Linked DNA regions of Sus scrofa. The protein of the gene in region 5 interacts with the protein of the main gene of each other region in a biochemical or structural test. Links are inferred from orthologs where the notes say so. Each region holds a gene or a part of one and is shown on either strand. Other genes may lie near its edges.

Region 1 (4,193 bases), on a different chromosome or scaffold from region 5:
TAAACAGCATTCTGGAAAATTTTTTGAATGGAGGCTTATTTTAAAAAGTTAAACAGTTAATTAATGTGTTCCTATATATTCAGATGACTGTCAGTTTACGCCAACAGTAGACTATTTTTGAAGTAAGTTACAAATCAGAAGAGTTTTTCCGTAATTAACTTCTGGGTAAGCGGGTCAAGTTCAGTCTCAGTAAAGTTTTCAATTAATGCAACTTTAAAATTTCCAAATATTCTTTTTAAACATTCTTTTTTAACTTAACAGAAAACGGTTACCTTGTGTGCGTGGTAAAGCTATTTCTTCAGTAATTTTATCTTCATTTCAAAACAAATACTTCGAGTAAATTAGCTGTGCACACTATGTGCACATACATAACCCGAAGGAATAAAATCTCTCCAGATATACAACGTTTGATTCAAAAAAACTCCCCCACAATTTTTAGCTGTACATATATAAACACTTTAGTCTCACTTTACCTTTAGGAGAGATGTTTACTGACAGTTGCTAAGAAACCACTTTTATTAAAGAATATTAACACTTATAAAACTACATAGTTTTAACTAAATATTGTCAACTAGTAAAATTCATACCACCAAATTTCTTATCTTAATAGAGGCTTAAAAAAATGCTTCAGTCACCTCAGACCAGTAACTTAATCCTGTCTCATGTCTATACACTGGCCTTTCGTAACTCTCAATTTCTGATACTTTTCATTCTGCAAAAAAGGGCTCCATTCCCATCCTTGATCAAAGCCAGCTTATTATACCTGAAACTGCAAAGATTAATGCCTTTTGATAACCAGCATCTTTTGAAGTACAAGGGCCTGTTAGACAACCAATACTATACACTATTGAAATTCTTGGGTTTCTATCTTATTCAACAAGCTGACTCAGTAAATTTAAGACACCGTATGGAAAAAGCGGAACACACCTACAATCTGAAGCTGGAGTAATCCACTCTTGCCAGTCTGATTATTAGCTGATAAATTGTACTTGACATTCTACACAAGTCAGAGTAAGATTAACGGATACCCAAAGGTGTCAGAGGACATGATACCTAAATAAGGTGAGCAGCAATTCTGGCATCACAATAATACTTAAATTTCAAGTGAAACTGAAGTTTAATCTCTGCAATCACCATTTGCTACACACTATACCCTTCAACCTATACAACCTTATCATCTGGGATCAAAAACCACTCAATCTCCATTCTACTACTTGTCACAAGAGCACTGAATATAAAATGCTACTGAATTGCAAATTTCATATCCTATCCCATATCACCCCAATGGGGGGAGGGGAGCAAATTTAACAAAGATCTAATAAGAACGATTTATGAGATATACCACGGCACTATTGATTTCAAGCTACAAAACTTCCACATGCAGTTCAAAGTTGTAATTAACTTTGTTTTAACACACAAACCTACTTTTGCCTTCAAATGAGCACCATATATGCTAAAATGATTCTCTCTAAAGTTATGCAAATCAGTTCACAACTCACATTTTAAAAGAATCTATCAATGCAACCCAGGAAACTCAAAACAATCACTGCAAGATTCTGATGCAATATGCGTACGTGCAACACTAATTTTCATTTTAATCTGATCTATACCCTTGATCTAGGGCCTAAAGCCAAGATTTAATCGAAATATGCTCAACCTCAAAGCATCTACTTTTCTGTTCATTTAATAGACCGGATTACCGAGCTCACTAATCCACTAACACTGTACTGTATTCTGTATTAACGGACAATAGCCCTTAGGAAGAGACCCCGTAGACAGACTAAGAAACCCATGGGCGCCTTGACACTTGCAACCAAGCAAGAGTTCTGTCTAGATGAACACACCCTAGGCTGAATGCATTCAAAAGCAGCACAAAATATACATGATCTAGAAATCTGATTAGGGTTAAATGTTATAGTCACCCAAACTATGGACATTTTTCGCATCCGTCTACTCCCACGTTATAAGAGCGAGTGACAGAAAAGCAAAGAGGAGCAGCAGCCACAGAAATGGATACAGGTCAAGTCTAAGTCGAATCCATCCTCTTGATATCTCCTTTTGTTTCTGCTAACGATCTCTTTGATGATGGCTGTCATGTCTGGGAGTCTGTGGCTGAAGAAAAAGGAGGAGAGAGATGGCAGAAGCTGCTGGTGGCGGGGCTTCTTCTGCAGGATGGAAATGGCTCTGGACTTGGCGGTAGCTGATGCCCCTCGCTCTGCTGCCGCTTGGCTCTGGACCGCAGCCGGGTAATGGCTGCTGCGGCGGCTGCTGGATGGTTGCAGCGACTGGGCCTGCTTCTCCTCAGCAGCCAGAGATCTGGCAGCGGCGGCAGCGGAATGGGGAGAAGACGAATAATCCTCGGAAAGGCTGCCTCCTCCGGCGGCCTCTGGAGCCCGGGCCAGGGGGGGTGCGGCGGCGGCGGAGGGGAGGTTTAAAACCGGCCCGGGTCCCTGGATGTGCCGCCGCCGCCGCCGCCGTGTTGGAGGCAGTAAGAGGGGAGAGACCAACTCTCCGGCGTTCCCAGCCCTGGAAATGATGACAGGCGACTCCGACCCCCTCCCCGGAGCTGCAGCCGCCGCCGCCGCCGCCGCCGCCGCTTCTCCCCCCCGCTCCAGGAGCGGGAGGTGCCGCCGCCGCTCCTCAGCCGGCTCCCGCCCGAGCCCACGGCTTCCACCGTCCCTTTCAGAAGAAGCCGAGGAAGAGGCTGCACGGTTAGAAAAGAGGACGAAGAGGAGGCGAGAAACGCCGCCGCTGCCGCCGCCGCCGGCCGGCCGGCTCCCCGAGGGCGCTGCCCCCGCGGCTGCTCACAGGCGTTGAGAGGGGCTCTGGGCCGCGGCCGCCGCCGTCTCTCATCTCCTTCGCCTGAGCCCGGTCTCGCCTCACAGCGGCCCAACTCTCAAACTTCCATCATGGCTGCAGCTTCCGAGAGGAGAGAACTGAGCGCAGCCGCGTCCCGGCTCCGAACGGGTATCCTGCCGCAGTGCACAAAGAGTCCCGCCACATCACCGCCCGCCAGCCTGCCCGCCCCCTCCGCCGCCGCGCTAGGGGCAGGGGCGCCTGGGAGCCCGAGGGGAGGCGGGAGGCGGGAGGCGGGCCGGACCGCGCCAGGGGAGAGACGCGCAGGGCAGGGCTGGGGTTTTAGGGAGGGGGCAGAAGCGGCAGCTCTGGTGCGAGCGCCGAGTCCCCAACCTGCTGGCGCCACTGAGCATGCCCAGTATGACTGCCCGGGGCTCGCTCGGGCTTGTTCCGAGGCCCCCTCCTGAAGCTGCACTTGCTGCGGCTGCTTCTGCAGCAACGCAGGGTGGGGGGACGAGCTGAACCATAGCCTGTGCCCAGCAACGCAACCCGAGGCAGAATAGGCTGTTGCGAGCGAGACAGGGGGGTTAAGGTGAAGGCTGAGGCAGGTTCTTTGAGCAGTGTCACTGACGCGAGTCTGAGGTTACCTGTGCACAGGTGGGAAAGACCAGGTGACTGCGCTGGTAGTGTACCGGGAAGCGCAAGGATGGTCCCTACAGCGAGGACACCTCTCCCCTTGCCCCCAGATTTCCCTGGCACGGCCTGCAACCCCCCGTCCTTTTGCACCGCTGTCGGATCACAATCGTTCGCAGGGATTTGACTGCAGCAGCCTCTGCCAAAAAATCCACCTATCCCCCACCCCCACCCGTGTCCTCAAGGTGTCAGTCTTAATACAAAGAATCCCCTATTGTGTCTCTAGTGTGTATCACCTCATCCGGCTCCCTTGCATCGCCCCACCTCCCGCTTCCCCGGCAACCTGGTTCATTTGCCCTAAAATTGAAAGGTCCAGCAGAGCGTGCTGAATATGAACACATCGCCCCTGAATTTCTAGATCCCAAAGGACAAATGTCCAGGTGAAATGAAAGCTGATACCCGACGCTGGGATGCACCCCAGCCCCCTGGAGAGCAGAGAGCATCTCTCCCCTCGGGGTTCCAGTAGGGTTCACCGCGTCGAACTGAGCCAAAGACTCCTCGCCCCGCCCCCTTTTGGGCCGCTGTGAAAACCTGGCTGGCTGGATCGCCCCGGGGCCCGGTTCCGCGCTCCACCACCCGGGCGGAGACTCGGGTTGCTGGGCCGGAGAGTGAAGTACGCGACGGTAGGAAGCTGCAGCCCCGGCGAGTGGGCGGAGCCGAGGAGACCGAGGAGGGTTCAAAAAGAGGTGGAGGGATATACGGGC
Region 2 (2,444 bases), on a different chromosome or scaffold from region 5:
GGATGGGAGCGAGGTGCCAGGTGTTCCCAGAAGGGGCCCCTGCAGCTGGGAAGTGTGGCAAAGGGCAGGGGAAAGGAGCCCCCAGTCTGGCCACTCCAAGCCTGACTGAGCCCCTGAGGACAGTGCATCCCTGCTGGCGTGGGGGCTGCTGGGTAGACGTCACACCACAAGGAAGGAGCACGGTTCCGGTACAGCTACAGTTAACTCGACCTCTGTGGCGTCCTTACAGGAAACCGAGGCTCGGAGGTGAGGCCGCCCATCCTGTCGCACAGCAAGGGGCAGAGCCAGGTCTCCCTGTGCCCGTGTTGTGGGGACCAGCCTCCGGGAGTGACAGGAGGGCTTGCCGCAGGGGTTATGGCCATTGCTGGCAGCACCCACACCGTGGGGTTTAAAGCTAGCTCCTGATGGGGGATGTTTGGGGGGCTGAACAGCTCGGGTGGAGTCAACAAGTGGCTCTGTCCCTGCGGACCCAGCCTCATCCTCGCCGCCCCCGCCCCCACTCACCCGGAGCTGCCACTCCTCCACCTCGTCCTCCTTGCGTCGCCGAGCCTCCTCCAGGAGGGCGATCTTGGCAGTGTACTCGGCGAGTTCTGTGGCCTGGAAAAGGAGCAGAAGCCCAAGTTATTTCTAGGACGCGTCCGACAGTGCACCTGTGAAAGAGGGGTCACATGCTCTGGTCAACGGCCAGCAGCGTCCGTCACCCACGCAGAGCCCCTCCCACCTGCCACTCTGCGCCCCCAGGAGGATCACTTTACAGCCCAGACACCCGTTACTATAAAGCAGGTGTCACTTTTTCTACCCCCCGAGGCAGCCTCTCCATAATTCAGCATCCTGAGGCCCTGTGGACTCCTACCAGCTGCTCCTGGCTCTTTATCTGATCCACCGCCTGCCTCTCCAGCTCCTCCTTGGCGCGCAGCGCAGCCACGCGGTCGGCCTCCAGGCGCTCGGCCTCCTCCTGCGCGCGCTTCCTCTCCTCCTCCAGCTGCAGCGCCCGCTGGATCTGGTCGGAGAGCTCTAAGGGCACAAGCCGGGGCTGCTCAAGGCTCCAGCCAAGGACCCCCCCGTCTTGCCCTCAATTCCCACCCGGGGGGAGGGGCGCCTGGGACACGAGCAAGAATCACACCAACGCTGCAGAGCAGCGGACAGAGTGGCAGGGGACATGGAGGGGGACACGTGGCGGCTGGTTTCTCCCGCGCTTGTGGGCTCCATCCTCGTGGTGGCGAAACGGCCCCCTCCCGCCCAGGGCCTGGCTGCACACCCTTGGGCCGCTGGCCTCAGAAACCCCTGCTCAGGAGGGTTTGAGGGACAGAGGGACAGTGTGGCACAGCCAGGACGCTCATGACTGTGCGACTATACCTCCCTGAACTTCACCGTCCTCATCAGGAACAAGGTGCTAACCTGGTCCTCACCCCACAGAACTGATGGGAACCTCACGAAGAGAATGCGCGGTAAGCATTTAGCCCGGAACCTGCACAGAGTTCTCCCCAATCCAGACAAGCACTTCATCAGGCCCCCCGCCAGGTCTCTGCTTTGGGGAGGTGTTCGACGGCAGTGTGTGTCCCTGGCCGCAAGTGCGCCCTCCCATCACAGGCCCCCCACCGGAGGGAGGCTCGGGCAGGCCCACCTCTCTCCGCCTTCCTGGTCTTCTCCTCATAGTCCTGAAGCCTGAGCATCAGCTCCTCCTTCTCGCGCATCATCTGCTCCTTCTCTCTCTCCACCGTTTCCCTCCGTTTCTTCTCCGTTTCCAACTGCTGCCTGTTTCCGGGAGGGGAAGAAGCAGCACAGGAGGCTCAGACTCTACAGGGGAGCGTGGTGTCTACGTGGCAGCCTGGTCACCCCACAGGTGGCCCTGGCCTGGAGCCAGTCCGCCACCAGCCCCACCCCCAAGGGGCAGCTGCACCCCAGTCCCTGGTTGTCCCCAGCTCAGGCGCCGCCTCTGCCCAGCCCAGCCCGCTCACCGCTCCAGCTGCTTCTGGTGCTTCTCCTCCCGGGCCTGGGCCTTCATCTGCTGCACCTCGATGGTGTCGGGCTTCCTGCGGCGCATGTACAGCTCGTGGTTCCCCATGCAGAGCTGCAGGATCCGCTTGTTGATCCGCAGGCGGGGGGCATAGAACACAAAGTCCTGCAGAGCGGAACAGGGCGGACTTGGATTCGGGCCCGGAGACACCTTTCTCTAGCTTTCTTCTTCTGAACCTGACTTCACAAAGTTCTGGATAGCTTTTCTAAGAGAACAAGCAGCAACGCGGAGGGGGCCAGTGGGGGCTTCACAGTCATCAATGACCCCAAACGAAGGGTCGCGTCCTCTCCAGGACCAGCAGGAGCAGTGTGGGCACTGTGGGTGTGCCTGTGCGCAGACACGGGAACCCCACGCGGGACCACCAAGCTTCCCCCCAGCCCAATTCCTCCACAGTGCCAGCGCCGCCTGGCCTTCCGACAAAGGTCCA
Region 3 (4,160 bases), on a different chromosome or scaffold from region 5:
CACCATCTCTGCTGCAGCCATCAGTGCTAATGTTTCACTTTTCTGGGACAGCACTTGGGCCCCACTAGCCCTCAACCACGAGACTGGATTCAGCACAACCACTCTGAAACTTCTCATAACTTCCCCTCTTATGGCCTTGGGCAGAGACTTACTTTTGACTTTTTTTGAACCACAATATAAACTAAACAGGGAACATCCCAGGCCTTCAGATACCAGAGATTTTAGGTTAGCCAACAGAGTCAAGAAAGTGAGACAGGGAGAGAGGAAGGGACCTGGAATCCCACCTCAGCCCCAGCAGTATAGACACCAAGGATGCAGAGGGTGTCTGCAAAGCCTGGGTTTGTGGTTGGAGGGTGGGGAAGACAGATGTCTGGCTGCTTGGTTGGGGACTACAGCCAAAGGGAGGTCCTCCCCTGGGGCCTTTCTCTTTCTACAAATACCAGAGATACATGCTCACTTTCTCCTCAATTTCCAGATCTTTTGAAGGAAAAGGAAACTAACATTTTTTCTGGGCCACTACTTGAGCCAGGTACTGTGCTAGGCACCTTTGAATACTTTATCTCATTTAATCCCCACAGTAATCTTGGGAGTAGGTGATACTGTTACCCTTTACAGTGAGTAAACATGCTCAGAGATTCAGGATCTTACCCATGGTCACACAGCCAGTAAGTGTGACTTCTTGCTAAATTTGGCCTTTTTCCACTATATCACCCTGCTCTGTACCCTGAGATGTGATTAAGTGCCTGATAAGCATGGTAGGAATTCTTACCTCCCAGAATTCACCAGCAAATCTGAGCTCTTCCCTCCAAGCACCCACAAATGCAACTGTGAACTCCTTTCCCACTTTTTTAGACCTCATCCCTCCCAGGACCCTGAGCCCTTGTATCTGCTCCTCATTTCAAAAATATATTCCAATTCACCTTTGGGTTCTCTCATTCCAATCCCTAGGGAACTGTGACAAAGCTTTGAGTCAGGGTGAGGGATCAGAATAAGGGGTGCTCTCTGAGTCCTGGAATGGACAAGGCTTAGCTTGCTGTGAGTAAATGGAAAGAGGCTGGAGGACACAGTCCAGTGAGTAAAAGAGAACTCTCCTTAGAGGAGGGGAGAGGCCTGCATTTCTCTCTACCTCTCCAAATGAGAAAGAGGCCTGCTGAATATGAGGATTTGGACTAGGGAAAAATCCCAGAAGTGACCTTTATGGGACTGTTTGTGTGGGGTTGAAATCTTACACATGATCAAGGCCCTTCCATAAGTCATAACAGAGGCTGGAGAAGCTTGGGCAGTCACAAATGGTGAGAGAAGGGGAGGAAGGACCCTCTGGAGTAGGGTCATGGCTGAGTCCTGTGGGCTCCCACAAGTGATTGTATGGGGCTCTCTGTTGAAGAGGAGGCCCATTGCAAGGGAGATTTGTCAATTTTGTGCACAACATTGGTCTCATGTGACAGGACAGGAGGATGGGAGTGGGATCAAGAGTCCATCCTTCCTAAAGGGATCACCAACCCATACATATGATCTCTGTGAGGACTAGGCTCAAGGAGTTCTATGTGGCTGCTCAATTTACCCCACTTAAAGGGAAGGTGCTGCTTCCCTGCCCCACATTTCTCTGCCTGCCAGCTGGGTGCCTGGGTACAGGGGATCTGGGTGTGCTAAGAGCCTGGACCCTGCTGTCTCCTGCTGCTGCCCCCCCAACCCCAGTCTGTGTTTGGAGAGGAGGTGCATGTTTCCACACCATCCACAAAGACAGTCTATTCTGAAGATGAGGTACCATCACCTTGTGGGTACTGGAAAGGGGGAGTGTCTGCCCACCTGTTGCTAATGACAGGGAGAAATCTGCCTCTGAGGGGAGAGGGGAACACGCTCTGCTCTGACCCTTCCATGAGGGGAAGGGACTGTCTGTCCCAAAGAAGGAGGGAACTGACAAATATCAGTCTATTCAGAGGTCTGTGTGTCTTGAGGTGAGGGTCAGTCTGTCCTGGAATGTAGTGTGGGCAGAGAAGTCTGTCCCTCTGAAGTCTGCCTAAGGTATACCCCTGATATGAGGGTAGTGGGCTGCTAAAACAAGGGCATCTGCGGGTCGGGGGCGGGGCGGGGGGGCATGGAGAACATCGGCCTGTTGGGGGAAGGGCGGCCACCTGTGAGCCTGCCCAGGGTGGCAAAGTCAATCAACCCTAAGGCGAGGGTGGTAGTGATGGGGTTGGGACAGGTGTCAATCTGTCCGCAGTTGTGAGGAGAGCCCTTCCTGGGGGCGGGTCAGTCTGTCTGGAGGTGCGAGCAGGAGAGGTGAGGTTGGCCTGCGTGTCCCAGGCTCCAAAGTAGGCTCCAGGGTGAAAGCGGGTCAATCCGCCTGGGGGGAGGTGGGGGTGGGGCAAGGGAGATAAGGGTCGCTGGTTCCTGGTTGAGACACGTCGGTCCTTCCTGAGAGCGGCTCGGTCCGCGTCGAGGCCCTCCTCTCAGGTCCCGCGCCCGCCCCCGGCCCCGGGCCCCGGCCCCCAGCCATACTCACGCGCCCTCGGCGCCTTGCGAGCCCACGATGAAGCCGAACTTGTCGATGCGGCGCTCAGCGAAGCCGTTGGCCTCTGAGTCCGAGCCGAGAGAGCTGAGTTCATCGGCCGTTGCGGCGTCGGGGCCCGGGGCCAGGCTCTCTCGGGTCCCCGACAGGCTCCCCCTGGCTGCGGAAGCGCGCGGCCCGTTTTCTCCGCTGCTCTTCGCCATCCCGGCCGCGCCCGCTGCCTCAGCTTCAGCGGCCACCTCAGCCACCTCAGCCGCCTCAGCCGCCCGACTGCCGCCGACGCCCCGCCCACGTGCCGCGCCCATTGGTCGCAGCAAATCCGGGGGCGGGGCCCTAGGCCTTCCCCGGCGTTCCCTCCCCTCCACACCCAATGGGCGCCGTGGACCCCCAGGGCCCGCCCACCTCCCCCAGGCTGGCGCCAACCGGCCCGACGTGAGGGGGCGGGGCAGCCGTCTCCCGAAGCCCTTCCCCCCTGGGCTGCCAATCACGAGAGCTCACCTGAAAGAGCTCCTCTGGCCTTTCCGGGTTAGCCGCGACCCAGCCAGTCACCTGCAGCGCGGTGCCAGCTGAGGCCGAAGTCGTCCGTTGGGAATTCCGCATCTGCCTTCCAAGCACCCCCCACCCCCGCGAGACCCCAGGGACGTGAGTGAGGATTGCTTCACCCATTCGAGAAGCTCCGAGGAGACCCGCGGTGGTTCTGGGATTCTCCCAGCGACTCTCAGCGACTTAAAACCTAGGCCGAGCTGAAGTTCAGCAGTCCCCCACCCCAACTGCTTCTGGGGCTTTAAGTTAGGGAGACTGGGAGTTCCCTGATTAAGGATCTGGCGGGTTAAGGAACTGGCGTTGTCGCTGCTGTAGCGATCCCTGGCCCAGGAAATTTTGTTTGCCGCGGCCAGACCAAAAACAAACAAACAAACAAACAAACAAAAAAATAGGGAGACCTAGTTAATAAGAATAATGACCATTGTCTATTGAGCCACTCACTGCCCCAAGTTCTACCTACTATCTTTTGTAATTTGTATTTTTCCATCAGCCTTGAGAAAAATCACCTGTTTAAAGAGTATAATTCAATGTTTTAAGCATATTTATAAAGCTGTGCAACCATCACCATAATCTAACTTTAGAACATTTTCATCACCCCAAAAAGAAATTCCTATCCAGGGGTTTCTGTCTTGGCTCACCAGTTAACAAACTCAACTAGGATCCATGAGGATTTTATCCCTGGCCTCCTTCAGTGGGTTAAGGGATATCAACTCACAGAGTCATAATGATAGCTCCTCACTTAAGTACAGGTGAGCTGTGGTAAAGACTGCACACACGGCTCGAATTCTGCATTGCTGTGACCTATGCTGGCAGCTGTAACTCCAATTCAATCCCTAGCCTGGGAACTTCCATATGCCATGGGTTAGACATAAAGCAATTCCTATCCATTAGCAGTCAGTCACTCCCCATCCTTCCTCCCCCACTCCCTGGCAACTGCTAATTGTCTCCAAAGTTCTGTTTTTTTCTGGACATTTCATATAAATGAAATCATATGTATGTGGGCTTTGTGTCTGGCTTCTATCACCCCACATGTTTTCAAGAGTCATCCATGTTGTAGTATGTATCAATTCTTCATTCCTTTTCAAAGCCAAAAACTATTCCATTGTAT
Region 4 (4,026 bases), on a different chromosome or scaffold from region 5:
CGAGAGACTCAAGATCCTCCAGTCCAAGGGTGCAGGAAGGAAGGTCTCCTTCAGAAACAAATTGCCAGCAGCAATATATTACCCCTAATACTTGATCAATGAGGTAGATATGCGGAAAAGTCATCAAAACATACCAGCCCCACGTCCTCTGGGACCGAAGGCCTGCAGACATAAACTTACACAAGTTCCATGCAAAGAGGAACTGAACTGTACAAGAAACAATCACTCAAATAATGTTTTCTCTTTTTTACAACTTAAAAAAATAAAAAATAAAAAGGCAGAAGGATGTTCCTCCTCCTGCACATCTCTATAGACGTTCATTCTAAATTCATCACACTCGAGTTGTTTAGTGTTTGGCTGGGAGGGAAAGGGGCGCTTAGAAAGTAGACACCTGCATCACAGCATGGAGTCATTTGTACTACAGTTCCTCCCCTGTGAATCAGTGCTATCATCGGGCACAGTACCTTGCCGGTGTGCACAGCCTTCCGGGCCTGGGGGCTCCTCACACAGCCGTTCGCTGTCTTTCTCCTCCCCCAGGTAACAGCCACTCTGTTCCCCTGTGTAGTCAGTCCTACCGTTGCTGTTGCTGGAGCAGCCGTTCCCATAGGCCTTCAGGGAAGACCTGTGCAGGCACAGAAGCTCCTGGAAGGCCATCCTGAAATCTGGACTCCGGCAGTAGATGAGGGGGTTGAACGCCGAGTTGACGTAGCCCACCCAGTTTAGCAGGATGTAAACTTCCTTGGGGATGAGGTTGTCATGGATCCCGTGCACAATGTTGACGATGAAGAAGGGCAGCCAGCACAGGGTGAACGTCCCCATGATGATCCCTAGCGTCTTGAGGGCTTTGTGTTCCTTCAAGCAGAACTTGGAGGACCTCCGATGTCCCGGCCCGCTCCGCCCATCCTGCTCCGCTTGGCTGAGGTTCTGGGCGTGGAAGCGGCCCTCAGACTTGTCGATCTTCTGGAGCTGCCTTCTGGCTACTTGAAAGACCCTGGAGTAGACGAAGACCATGACTACCAGGGGCAGGTAGAAGGACACGATGGAAGAGGCGATGGCGTAAGGCTGGTTGGTGAAGAAGTCGCAGCAGGCCTCCTCTGCATAGCAGTTTAAGGCTTCCCGGTGGGTGGCCTGGTACCAGTGCATCTTAATGGGTAAGAAGGAGATAAGGCCCGACACGACCCACACCATCAGAATGACCACCCGGGCCTTGTTCTTGGTCAGCAGGCACTGGTACTTGAAGGGGGACGTGATGGCAAGGTAGCGATCCACGGCGATCACGCACAGGGTCTCAATGCTGGCCGTGACGCACAGCACGTCAATGGAAATCCAAAACTCGCACCAGAAACTGCCGAAAGTCCACATTTTCATGAGGATGTGGCTGGCCCCAAAGGGCACCACCGCCAGGCCCATGACCAAGTCAGCACAGGCCAGGGAGGTGATGAAGTAGTTGGTGACCGTCTGGAGACGCTCGAACTTGGCGATGGCTGTGATGACCAGCACGTTTCCAAACACGATGGCCAGGACAATGAGCGACATGACGATGGCCATGCCCACCACCCATGCCTCGTTCCGCTCCTGTGGGACGTCCTGGTCCGGCGCATGGCTTCCGTTGGGCGCCAGCAAGAAGACGCTGCGGTTCCCGGGCTGCCCCATGGCGCGCAGGCGGGCAGGTGAGCGCGCTGGCAGCCGGCGCACCCGCCGCGCCTCAGCGGGCCGACCTCCGGCGGGGGGCTGCGGGCAGCGAGCGGGCGCCTAGAAGCCTCATTCAGCGGCCGTGGGGTGGGTGTGGAGGGGGCGCGTGGTGCACTCAGCTCCCGGGGTGCTCGAGGCTCGCAGTGCCGGCGGGTCTCTGCCTGCGCTCCGGAGAAGCCGCCTCGGAGTGCGCGCTGCCCGTTATGTGCACAGGACTTGAGGGGAACTGCCCTCCCCGTGACGTGCTCCAACTTGGGACCAATGGCGCGCGGGAAGCCCCAAAGGGGCGAGGCCCCCCCCCCCCCCCCCGCCCCTTCCCTCCCTCTCCCGCCTCCTCCTGGGGCTGGCCCGGGCGGGGCCCCGCTGCTCCCTGCCGGCCGGTCGCCACTCCCTCCAGGCTACCCAGGCTGGCCCCAGGGCTGAAGCTGAAGTTGGGGGGTGCCGCTTACCAGCGAGCTGGGAGCTGCGCAGTCTTCTGTGGCTGCTACCTGCCTGCCCGGGCTTGTCGTGAGGCCTGAGGACCCTGGGCAGAGGGTAGTGCGCAGGCACTCCCTCCTATTCGGAAATAGACGAGAATGAGAGTGCCCGCCAGGACACGCACGGACAGGCACAATTCACCTGGCAGACGTGCACGGACTTAGACGGAGCCACAGCCACCGACACGCAGACACACCCATCCAGCACACCGACAAGCACACGCGCGTGCGCGCACGGACACACACACACACACAAGCAAATCGGCGCAAAGTCAACCTTAACTAACGCAGAGACGTGGTCAGGAACAAACCCAGCAGCACCCAGAACCACAAAGTCATAGGCACACACGAAAAGAAGTAAACAACACACTAAGGGCCACGTGGAGGCAAGCCGGGAGTCACAGCCAAGGACGTCCCCACCCATGTTCTACAAACCCTTCTCCGGCACCCTGGATCTCCGTCCTTTCCTCCCCAGCATGCGGACATTTCGCATATTCCCTTTCAAACATTTGGCGAGACCTCAGGAGGTGACTTCAGCAGCTGCCCATTTCCTCAGCTCGCTCGCTGTCAAGGACTTTCGGTGCTCTCCTTGGGAATCTGCAGGCACTGAGACAGGCTTTTACGCTTGGGATTTCATTCAGACCTGGGCTATCCATGCGTGTGTTTGGGGACAGAAAGAGAAAGTTGTATGCTTTAATTTTAATTCTAGTGAGTGTGGCATCACTCCTTCATTATCTGTTCAAGTGAAAATGTACTGAAAATAGAATAATTTTTCTTTGAAGCTCTACTTCATTCATGCCTGGGCAACTAGAAAAATCATCTGCTGGGTAGTTTGGTGATCCGAGCCATATGAAATTGCTGCTATTCTATAATCTCTGCTTCTAAAACATGGCAATTTATTATGGTTCACATTACTAAGAATGTGTAACATTAAAAATGTTTTGAGGCGTTCCCGTCGTGGCGCAGTGGTTAACGAATCCGACTAGGAACCATGAGGTCGCGGGTTCCATCCCTGGCCTTGCTCAGTGGGTTAACGATCCGGTGTTGCCATGAGCTGTGGTGTGGGTCGCAGATGTGGCTCAGATCCAGCGTTGCTGTGGCTCTGGTGTAGGCTGGCAGCTACAGCTCCGATTAGACCCCTAACCTGGGAACCTCCATATGCCGCAGGTGCAGCCCAAGAAATGGCAAAATGACAAAAAAAAAAAAAAAAAAAAAAAAAAAAAAAGGTTTGAAACCACAGAAAGGAAAAGGTATTTTTTCTTAAAAAAGTCAGACCAAGCTTCAGACGAGGTCATTTTCCATGAAATATTAGCCTTTGCATCTGGCATGTGACTTCACTGTTAAAAAGAAATTAATTTTCAGGGTTTGATTTTTACATGTATTAGTAGTGTCTTTGAAGAACTGAAAGTGTTTCACTCAGTGTAACCAAACATATTTTCTAGATTACATAATAACTTAACAATGGCTAACATTTATGAAACATTCTGCTATGTGCTTTTCATGCATTATTCCATTTCATCCTTCCCACAGTCGCCTGGTGGTGTGTGTGCTGGGGTGGGTGGGGCGGATAGTTATTTTTAATTTAATTCACAAAGGGGGCTGGAAGAGGAGAATAGCTTGCCCACAGGCACAGCCTGGCAATGCCAGGCAGGAGCTGAACCCAGTTCTCCCTGATTCTAAAATCTCTTTTTTAATCCTTTCAATGTACTGCTTTACCATGTGCAGAACAGAGTGGAGGGTAGAGAAGGATTACAACTGGAATTGGAATACTGCATTCCAGTTTCTTTCTAGCTCACATTCCTTAGGCAAATCCAAAATCTGGAGCCTAATTTCCTCTATGTCTAAATGTGCAATAAAG
Region 5 (3,940 bases):
TTGAGGAACAATGTTTGATGTCTATTAATACATTTTTTTTTTCAAAGGCAGGGTGGGTCACCTGCATGCTCCCACGCCAGGAACTTCCTACCAGAGGGATCAACGCTGCTGAGCAGCTCTGCAGAGGCTGAGGGACCCCCAGCTCACTCACTCAGAGCTGGGATTCAAACGCTTGGGCGTAAAAGGAGCTCTGTCCAGCACCCACTAGGGGCTCAAGTACTTCCCATTATTTGGAAAATTCTAGAGAAGGCAGGTGACACTGGAAACCAACACCCCCATTCTATAGATGGGAGAACCATGGCACAGAGAAGTTCTGACTTGCTTGGTGACCTGAAACCCCAAGAGGCCTGGTGACGATGTCGCTGGGGACTGGCTGGGGGTCTCACTCCCTTCTAGGGGCCCCACAGAGCACACACACAAATGCAGGGAATCTGATTCTGTGCTCACCCAGAGAGCTGCCTTTCCAGAAGGCCTGATGGGGGGTGCACGTGCTAGGCCAGGCCTCTATTCTAGCTCTTTGTCCTCTACCTCCCCGCAGGCCCTCCCGCACCCAGCAGCGAAACCAAAAGGGCACTGGGAGGAGCCGAACATGACCGCAACCTGGGGGGGGCGGGTTGCTTGTGAAAGTGCCAAAGTCCAAAAAAAAAAAAAAAAGAAAACAAAAAAACGGAATGGCAAATTGATGCACTCAGCACAAAGTTCAAACTGGATTTCTGCCTGGGACCAGAGGTCGTGAGTTCCAGTTCCCTGGTGTCAAACCCCACCAGGGGTGCTCTGACCCTGCCCCAACCCTTGCCGATGCCAGCTGGGCAGTGGCAGGAAGTAGGAGCCTGGCGGCCCTGGCACCCAGTGTTGTCCGGACAGGGCTCCAGGTGACCTCACTTCCACCAAACCAGTTGGTTTTCTCAGGCTCCACCTTCTACCTTAAAGGCTGAACTGTGCCCTTTCTCTGTCAAGGGAGGCTTGTACTGGCACCAGGGACACCCCCGCCAGCAGGTGGAGAGCTGGTACAAGCCAAATGGGCCCTGGGGAGGTCCAGGCCCTGCTCCCCAGTTTTGCCGCGAGGCCTTCCCCGTCACTCTCAGGGGACAGGAGGATCAGGGCAAGTCCTGTTTTCCCTCTGCCCCCAACCCCTGCAACTAATCCAAACTGGACTCATTAAACACCAAACATGGGCAAAAAAACAACCAGCTTGCTTGCTGTCTGGGGACTGGAGTAACACAGCTGATGCCAGGGCAAGGGCACCTGCCTGTGGTGACATGCTGGCTGCTATTACGGTCCAATGACCCTGGACCACTCCCCCCCCTTCCCCCAGCCATTTCTCCTCCTCCAAGGTCTTCCCTCCTGCTCCCAGATACAAGCCAGCGCTTACTCCTCACATTCCTGAGAATCATAAATCCTCCTGGGTGACAGAGCCGCCACCCACTCCCACCAGACGCCTCTGCACCTCCTCCCCGCACGCACCCCACCCCCACACATCATCTGCGGTGGTGGAGCGTCTCCTTTTTAGAAGTCACACCAGACTCTAGGAGGAGGATGAAGTCCAGCCAGGCTGCAGTTAATGATCCACGCGCCAGCGGGCTATGGGGAATGGGGGAAGTGACAGGAGAACGCAGTCGGTAACCCCTCTCCTCCCATCGGGGCGCCACACGGAGAGGGGGTAGTTATTCCTTTAGTTCTTGGAAGTCAGGGCTGCTCTCACTTCAGCCCAGCTTCATTCACCACCCTCAGGGGCGGCGAAGGCAGCTGGTCAGTCCGGCGGGCCTGAGGTGGGACTGGGGGTCCCAAGGGACGGGAGCAGACGCCACCAACAGAGTGCGGAAAAGGGGACTGGGCTCCCTTGCGCCGCCCTCTCTGACTCCTACTCCCACAGGCCAAGGGACAAGAGGTGCAAGTGGCCAAGACGCTCGGGGTCCCAGCCCAGTCTGGGGAGAGGAGTAGGGGTCGTGAGTCGCAGCCTCAAGCCTGCAACTGCCAATTCGCCCGATCCGCGGGCGGAAGCAGTCTCCCCCTTGAGGATCGAGTTTCAGAAAGACAAGGCGGGAGCAGGGCCGGGCGTCCGGGGCGCCTGGGTCTCCCCACTCTTCCCCCTCCCATTCGGTTCCAGCCTCGCCTCCCGGCCCGGGCCCACGCTTACTGGCTCCTGACGGCTCTTCTCCGCCTCGTGCGGCTCCGGAGTGGCGGCCGGCGGCTCATTTTCGCTGTCAGCCCCCTGCGCCTCGGTGGCGGCCGGCGGCTCGGCCTGCCCGGGCCCTTCTTGGGCGCGTAGCATCTCCTCCCGGACCTGGACGCCCAACTTCTGCAGCCGCTCGTCGGTCTCGGGGTCGACCACCAGCAGTCGCACGGCGTTAAGTGCGGCCCGGATGCGGCTCACCACCTGCTGGTGGGTCTCCTTCTCCACGTTCTCGCCGTTCACCTCCACTAGCCGGTCCCCGGCCAGCAGTCCCGACTTTTCGGCCGGCGAGCCGGGCTCCACCAGCCGGATGAACTGGCCTACCTTGCCCTTTTCCCCGTGCAAGTGGAAGCCGTAGCCGTTCGGACCCTTCTCCAGGCAGCAGAGCCGGGGCAAGGGTGCCCCGGCCGCCGAGTCCGCGCTCATCTCGCCTTCAGCGGCGCGAAGCAGAGTTCGGAGACGGGATGGTCCAACCCTTTTCCCTACCCTGCGGGCGGGGGTGGCGAGAACGACAGCGGAGGGGAAACCTGGCGCCGCGGGACCTGAGAGAGAGCAGGTGTCCCGGGAGCCGGGGCGGCGAAATGCTGGGAGCAGAGTTCGCAACGTTCAGACCAATCCCCGCCCCGCGCGGCGTCTGAGAGTTCCAGAACCCGACCCGGCCCCTTATTTCGGGGGCGGGGCCGCGCAGAGGGTGTGGACCACCGAGGGCCAATCAGAGGCCACGAACTGGGGCCGCTCTGGCCGGGTGAACAACACCGGCCAATGGGAGTGCGCAGGGGCGGGACTCTGCGCTCTGTGAGACGCCCCGCGGCGGGAGAAGAAAGAGAGCTCAGGAAGTGGAAGTGTTTGTTACCAAGTGGCTGGAGTTGAGGCGCGAGCGGGGAGGCGGGGGCACAAGGAGGCGGGAGCGAGTTCCTGTACTGGGCAGAGCGGCCTGCAGGATCTGCTCTGATTTCCTCCCACCTGTGTCGGGGGTTGAGCAGAGCCACCCCGTGGGTAAAGGAGACTAACGTTTGGACAGACTTTAGCTAAAATGTGCAGCTGCCGTTGGAGGTGGGAGTAGGGGCAACTGTTGCCAGGAACACCCGCTCCCGTCCGGAGACCCCACGAATAAGACCTAGGTCCACCTCGGACCCGACAGAGTGGTTTGAATAATGGTATTTTCCCGTTTGCAGGGTCACTGTGCGCTGTCCCAGGACCTGCTGGATCCTCGCGGGGACAATGTGAGGGCTCAGCAGAGAGGAGAGAGCTGCCTGTCGAAAACAGGACACCTAGGGCAATGGTGTGGCATTGGCGTCAGCCTTTGCCTAGGGAGGTGGGGGCGGGGAGAGGCAGAACACAGGTAACCAATTTCGGGGTGCAGTCCACAGGAAAAGGAGTCTTGGCTTTTTTCATCCGAGAAAGAAAAATGATGAGGACTGAAAGGGAGACCTTTCAATTCTTTCTTTCAGATGAGAGGCTGGGTCTGTTAAGGGTGAGGTGACCAGCTGGGGACATTGAAGGATGAGGATCAAATGATTTTGGCAGTCAGTGATAAGCAACAACAATGCTTTCAGCATGATCTCCGCGCCCCCTCCCCCACACACACATTATGTGCACCGCAGAAAGCAGCGGACAGGGTGTACTTTCCAAAATACTGTAGTTTAATTCTGGAATACACAAATGCTAAAGGCCCGGAGCAGCCTAGGTGATTGGATTGTCTGCGACCTGCCTTGTGCCCCAGAAGATCCCCTGCAAGGTCAGGCTCCTCCCTGCTCTGCCTGGGAG
Region 6 (4,049 bases), on a different chromosome or scaffold from region 5:
ATGAAAGATTGCATAAATTACCATTAAATACCCGGTTTTAAACATAAATAAACACTAACCATAAAAAATTAAGGATTCAAGATTCAAAACTATTTAGTTTTATAGAAACGATGTGTGAGCAGAAGAGTGCATAAAGATTTCTAGGGAAAAGACTGAAAAACAACCAAAATAGCATCAAATGTACTTGGCTAACAGAAATAAATCCTTGGGGAGTTCCTGTTGCAGCTCAGTGGTAGCGAAACCGACTAGTATCCATGAGGACCTGGGCTTGATCCCTGGCCTTGCTCAGTGGGTTAAGGATCTAGCATGGCCAGGAGCTGTGGTGTAGGTCGCAGATGCGGCTCGGATCTGGGGTTGCTGTGGCTGTGGTGTATGTAGGTCGCTGACACAGCTTGGATCCCATGTTGCTGTGGCTGCGGTGTAGGCTGGCAGCTGCAGCTGCAAGTCAGCCCCCTAGTCTGGGAACCTCCATAGGCTGAGAATGCGGCCCTTAAAAAAAAAATTGCTCCTGCTGCTGCAGTAGGAAAACTGGACACAGGTGCCTAACAAAATCAGACAAGTCCTCACCTATCCCATTTACAGACACATACATTTTGAAAATCCACAAACAGAAGATGCTCTGAGAATTCCTTGCCCTGCCAGAAGTTACAGTAACCACACCCATAAGCCTAGGCTCTACTTTACTCAAGGGCCACCAAATGGCCAAGAGATGTAGCTACACACACTGAATACACCTCCAGCAAAACAAGCTTCCAACCCTTGGGGACCCTCTGCTAGGCCGGCCCATTAAAAAGGAAATTATCAGAGTATGGATTAGGGGCCAGAAACAAAAGATCTCATAATGACCCAAGTGTGATTAAAGGCCAAAGGTTCAGGCCCACCTAGTTAAGTAGTCCTAGCTACTAGATAAAAACTTTTAGTTAAAGCTTCACCAGAGTTCAGTAGCGGCTCAGCGATTAACATCCAAGAGGTTGCTGGTTCAATCCCTGGCCTTGCTCAGTGGGTTACGGATCTGGCATTGCGGTGAGCTGTGGTGTAGGTCGAAGAAACAGCTCAGATCCCGAATTGCTGTGGCTCTGGCATAGGCCTGAGGCTACAGCTTCTACTGGACCCCTAGCCTGGGAACCTCCATGTGCCGCAGGTGCGACCCTAAAAAAAAGGAAAAGAACTTCACCTCTGTAAGCTGTTTTTCATCAGGGTTTGCTCCCAGCTCAGGACGCTTCAGTGGATTTAGGACCAAATGATTCCTGGGCCGGACCATCAGCACTGTCAGACCATGCACTGCTTCTCTGAAGGCTAGAGACCTGGATAAGACCCCACAGGCCTCAGGGACCCCATCCCCAGAGTGGTCCTCAAAAGGGGAAGTAGAAATATTTGCAATAGGAAAGAGGCTAGCCAAGTTCATTCTCCAGTGCTGGCTGTGCCTCCGGGGCCAAAGCAAAACGTGCCCAAGAGCAGTGTGCCCCAGTAATTAAAAAATAGTGTAGTTTTTTCACCCACATGTAATTTGCCACAACTAGGTACCAAGATAGTGAGAGACGCACACGGAGAGGGAGGGAGCGAGACACAGTCACAAAAACACAGACAGAGGGAGCTCAGTGCAGTTTGGTACGCAGCTGTCATCTAAGAATACAGAAAAAGGTGGGGACATTGGAAGACGGCAACTGGTCCAGGGCACTAAATAGATAAAGGAAGCTGTTCATAAGATGCTTGCTTAGGGGGGAAAGGGTGCAGCTTTAGCTCAGAACTTCGAACTCCTTAGCAATACTGGGGAAGCCGGCTACACAGAGTAGGGAGTGGAGAGGGGGCGCAGCGCGTTCTCCTGCTGGGTGTAGATTCCCACTGGGCAGCCCAGGTTCTCCGCCTCTCCCCCTCCTGCTCCAGCTGCTCCCCCTGCTCCTCCTCCTACGGGCTGGCGAAACAGCGAGAGGAAAGGCAGGGACACCCGGCGGCCCCGCCACCAGGGCCTCCTCCCCCGCCCTGCTCCTCCGCCCCCGCGCGCCCAGGCTCAGGTGGGGACCACGCGACCCGCGTGGGGCCGCCCCATTGTCGGCGGGAAGCCGGGCGGCCTGGGCACCGGCGGGAAGCTCTTGCTCGCCCCAACCCTCTGTTCCCGAAAGGCGCCGGCGCGGCGGCGGCGGTGTCACAGCTCAGGCGGGGCGCTCACCAGAACAACACGCGCGAGCAGACGTTCGCGTCCCGAAGCGGGTTGGGCTTCACCTCCGGGTACACCGGCAGCATCCTGACGGCCAAGACGGGTGCGGGCCGGGGTCGCACAGCTCCCGCGGCGGTGCCGCTCACGCTGCTCCCGGAAGGGTTGGCGGAGATGCTGGACCTCTGGCTGGCCCGGGGGTCCGCCTGCAGGAGCCCAAGAATCACTCGCTTCCGGGAGTGGAACGCCTGCGGCCCGCCTCCCAGGCCGCGCCGCCTCCCGGGTCCGCCTCGGGGCCGCCAGCTACGCGCCGCTGCAGGATCTGCCGGGAGCCGGGTGCAGCGGACGCGTGCGAGCGGCGAGACAAAGGGGTGACTCGGCTGCCGCCGTCCGCAGCTTGGTGAAGGGGCGAGGCGAGGCCGAAGGTGCCGTTGGATGGAAGCGGGTAGACCTACCACGCGACACAGTCTGTCTCCGAGCCGAGACACCCACGTGCTCGCACCTGGCTGCAAGCTCAGCCTCAGTTCTTGCTCCCAGCCCAGGCACCCACCCAGAAGAGGTGGAGAGGGAGAGGCGTGGTATTTGCCCGCCCCTGCAGTTCAGAAACGCCCCCTCGGCTGCAGCTTTCCGAAGACCCAGAGAAGGCCGGCTGTAGGCATTAGCAGTCCGCCCTCTGGGCACCCTGCCCTCCTCACGACCAAACTAGGGTGCTATGGGAGGTTCTCCATCCTGCGGCTAAACATTTGACCTGGGACAACGGCTGGATTTAGCACAGATGTGTTTGTAACGCTGCAAGACCTAAAGATATGTAACAGAGAATTAGAAGAACTCAAAAAATTTTGGAAGACGAATGCACGCTTCCAAAGGGCTTTTGAGATCTCACATTACTGCATGGTGCGGGGGGGACCTCTGTAAGCTTTTTGCTGCCCTTTTAGATTGGGAAAGGGGAATATGGCGAGAGACTGCCTTATGATTTCTTTCATCATGTGCTCAAAACCTAGTGGAGTAACAGTGGTACATTTTATAAAACACCGGTTATAGGCACTTCTGGGGACCTGACTGCACTTTTCACTCTAACGATGCCCTAATAAAGAAGGTATTACTATCCCTGTTTTACAGATGAGAAAGATAAGGCTCAAGGACAGAACTTGTCCAAGGCTTGAAAATCAATAAACAGGAGTTCCTGCTGTGGCACAAGGGTATGGGAGATGTCTCTGTGGCATGTGGACACAGGGTTCATCCCTCCCCTGGCACAGTGGGTTAATGGATCTGGCCACCCAGCTGCAGCTCAGATCTGACCCCTGGCCCAGGAACTCCATATGCTTCGGGCTGGCCAAATAAAAATAACATAAAATAAAATAAAATCAGTAAATAATGAATTCTGATTTGGACCAAGTGAAAGTCCAGCATGGTCTCAACCGGTAGGTGGACAGTGTGCATGAAAAGTGCCTAGAATATGCTGTTTGGATGAATGAATGACTGCAGGTCTGAATGAACCAAATCTTGGGTATCTTCTCTTCCCTTCCACTCTAAATGAAGAAAGCTCAAAGTTCTTTGTGTTTACAATGATAACATCTTTTTTATTCTTTTTGAGTATTTCAATGTACCTTGACTAAAATACTGTTATTACTTTTTTTGCTGTACCCGGTAGCATGTAGAAATTTCCAGTTGGGGACCGAACCTGCACCGTAACAGTGACCTGATCCACAGCACTGACGTTGTCAGGATCCTTAACCCACAGAGACATGTGGAAACTCTTAAAATAGTGTTATTAATAATGGCTTTTTTCATCGAGAACTATGTCTAGATACTTATGTTGCAACAGAAGAAAGGGTGGGGGAAAAACTGTAATTGCAATGTATACATGTAAGGATAACCTGACCCCCTTGCTGTACAG

The links.
Region 1: the proteins of SLC9A3R1 (region 5) and PTEN form a complex in vitro, tested with the Homo sapiens proteins (3 studies listed by BioGRID and IntAct). The link is inferred for Sus scrofa from reciprocal best matches to the Homo sapiens genes NHERF1 and PTEN.
Region 2: the proteins of SLC9A3R1 (region 5) and EZR form a complex in vitro, tested with the Homo sapiens proteins (2 studies listed by BioGRID and IntAct). The link is inferred for Sus scrofa from reciprocal best matches to the Homo sapiens genes NHERF1 and EZR.
Region 3: the proteins of SLC9A3R1 (region 5) and TBC1D10A form a complex in vitro, tested with the Homo sapiens proteins (2 studies listed by BioGRID and IntAct). The link is inferred for Sus scrofa from reciprocal best matches to the Homo sapiens genes NHERF1 and TBC1D10A.
Region 4: the proteins of SLC9A3R1 (region 5) and ADRB2 form a complex in vitro, tested with the Homo sapiens proteins (3 studies listed by BioGRID and IntAct, with this or other methods). The link is inferred for Sus scrofa from reciprocal best matches to the Homo sapiens genes NHERF1 and ADRB2.
Region 6: the proteins of SLC9A3R1 (region 5) and ABCC4 form a complex in vitro, tested with the Homo sapiens proteins (3 studies listed by BioGRID and IntAct, with this or other methods). The link is inferred for Sus scrofa from reciprocal best matches to the Homo sapiens genes NHERF1 and ABCC4.

What each region holds. Positions count from the first base shown.
Region 1 is NC_010456.5:99,928,197-99,932,389, reverse strand, and holds the start of PTEN (phosphatidylinositol 3,4,5-trisphosphate 3-phosphatase and dual-specificity protein phosphatase PTEN), read right to left. Parts: upstream 2,801-4,193; 5' UTR 2,097-2,800; coding exon 2,018-2,096; intron 1-2,017. UniProt on the Homo sapiens protein: Dual-specificity protein phosphatase, dephosphorylating tyrosine-, serine- and threonine-phosphorylated proteins.
Region 2 is NC_010443.5:8,448,362-8,450,805, reverse strand, and holds part of EZR (ezrin), read right to left. Parts: intron 2,123-2,444; coding exon 1,959-2,122; intron 1,756-1,958; coding exon 1,625-1,755; intron 1,015-1,624; coding exon 854-1,014; intron 598-853; coding exon 505-597; intron 1-504. UniProt on the Homo sapiens protein: Probably involved in connections of major cytoskeletal structures to the plasma membrane. In epithelial cells, required for the formation of microvilli and membrane ruffles on the apical pole. Along with PLEKHG6, required for normal macropinocytosis.
Region 3 is NC_010456.5:47,298,741-47,302,900, forward strand, and holds the start of TBC1D10A (TBC1 domain family member 10A), read right to left. Parts: upstream 2,801-4,160; 5' UTR 2,713-2,800; coding exon 2,504-2,712; intron 1-2,503.
Region 4 is NC_010444.4:150,031,423-150,035,448, reverse strand, and holds the start of ADRB2 (beta-2 adrenergic receptor), read right to left. Parts: upstream 2,801-4,026; 5' UTR 2,142-2,800; intron 1,887-2,141; 5' UTR 1,654-1,886; coding exon 397-1,653; 3' UTR 1-396. UniProt on the Homo sapiens protein: Beta-adrenergic receptors mediate the catecholamine-induced activation of adenylate cyclase through the action of G proteins. The beta-2-adrenergic receptor binds epinephrine with an approximately 30-fold greater affinity than it does norepinephrine.
Region 5 is NC_010454.4:6,480,740-6,484,679, forward strand, and holds the start of SLC9A3R1 (Na(+)/H(+) exchange regulatory cofactor NHE-RF1), read right to left. Parts: upstream 2,801-3,940; 5' UTR 2,600-2,800; coding exon 2,138-2,599; intron 1-2,137. UniProt on the Homo sapiens protein: Scaffold protein that connects plasma membrane proteins with members of the ezrin/moesin/radixin family and thereby helps to link them to the actin cytoskeleton and to regulate their surface expression. Necessary for recycling of internalized ADRB2.
Region 6 is NC_010453.5:64,307,032-64,311,080, forward strand, and holds the start of ABCC4 (multidrug resistance-associated protein 4), read right to left. Parts: upstream 2,801-4,049; 5' UTR 2,242-2,800; coding exon 2,168-2,241; intron 1-2,167. UniProt on the Homo sapiens protein: ATP-dependent transporter of the ATP-binding cassette (ABC) family that actively extrudes physiological compounds and xenobiotics from cells.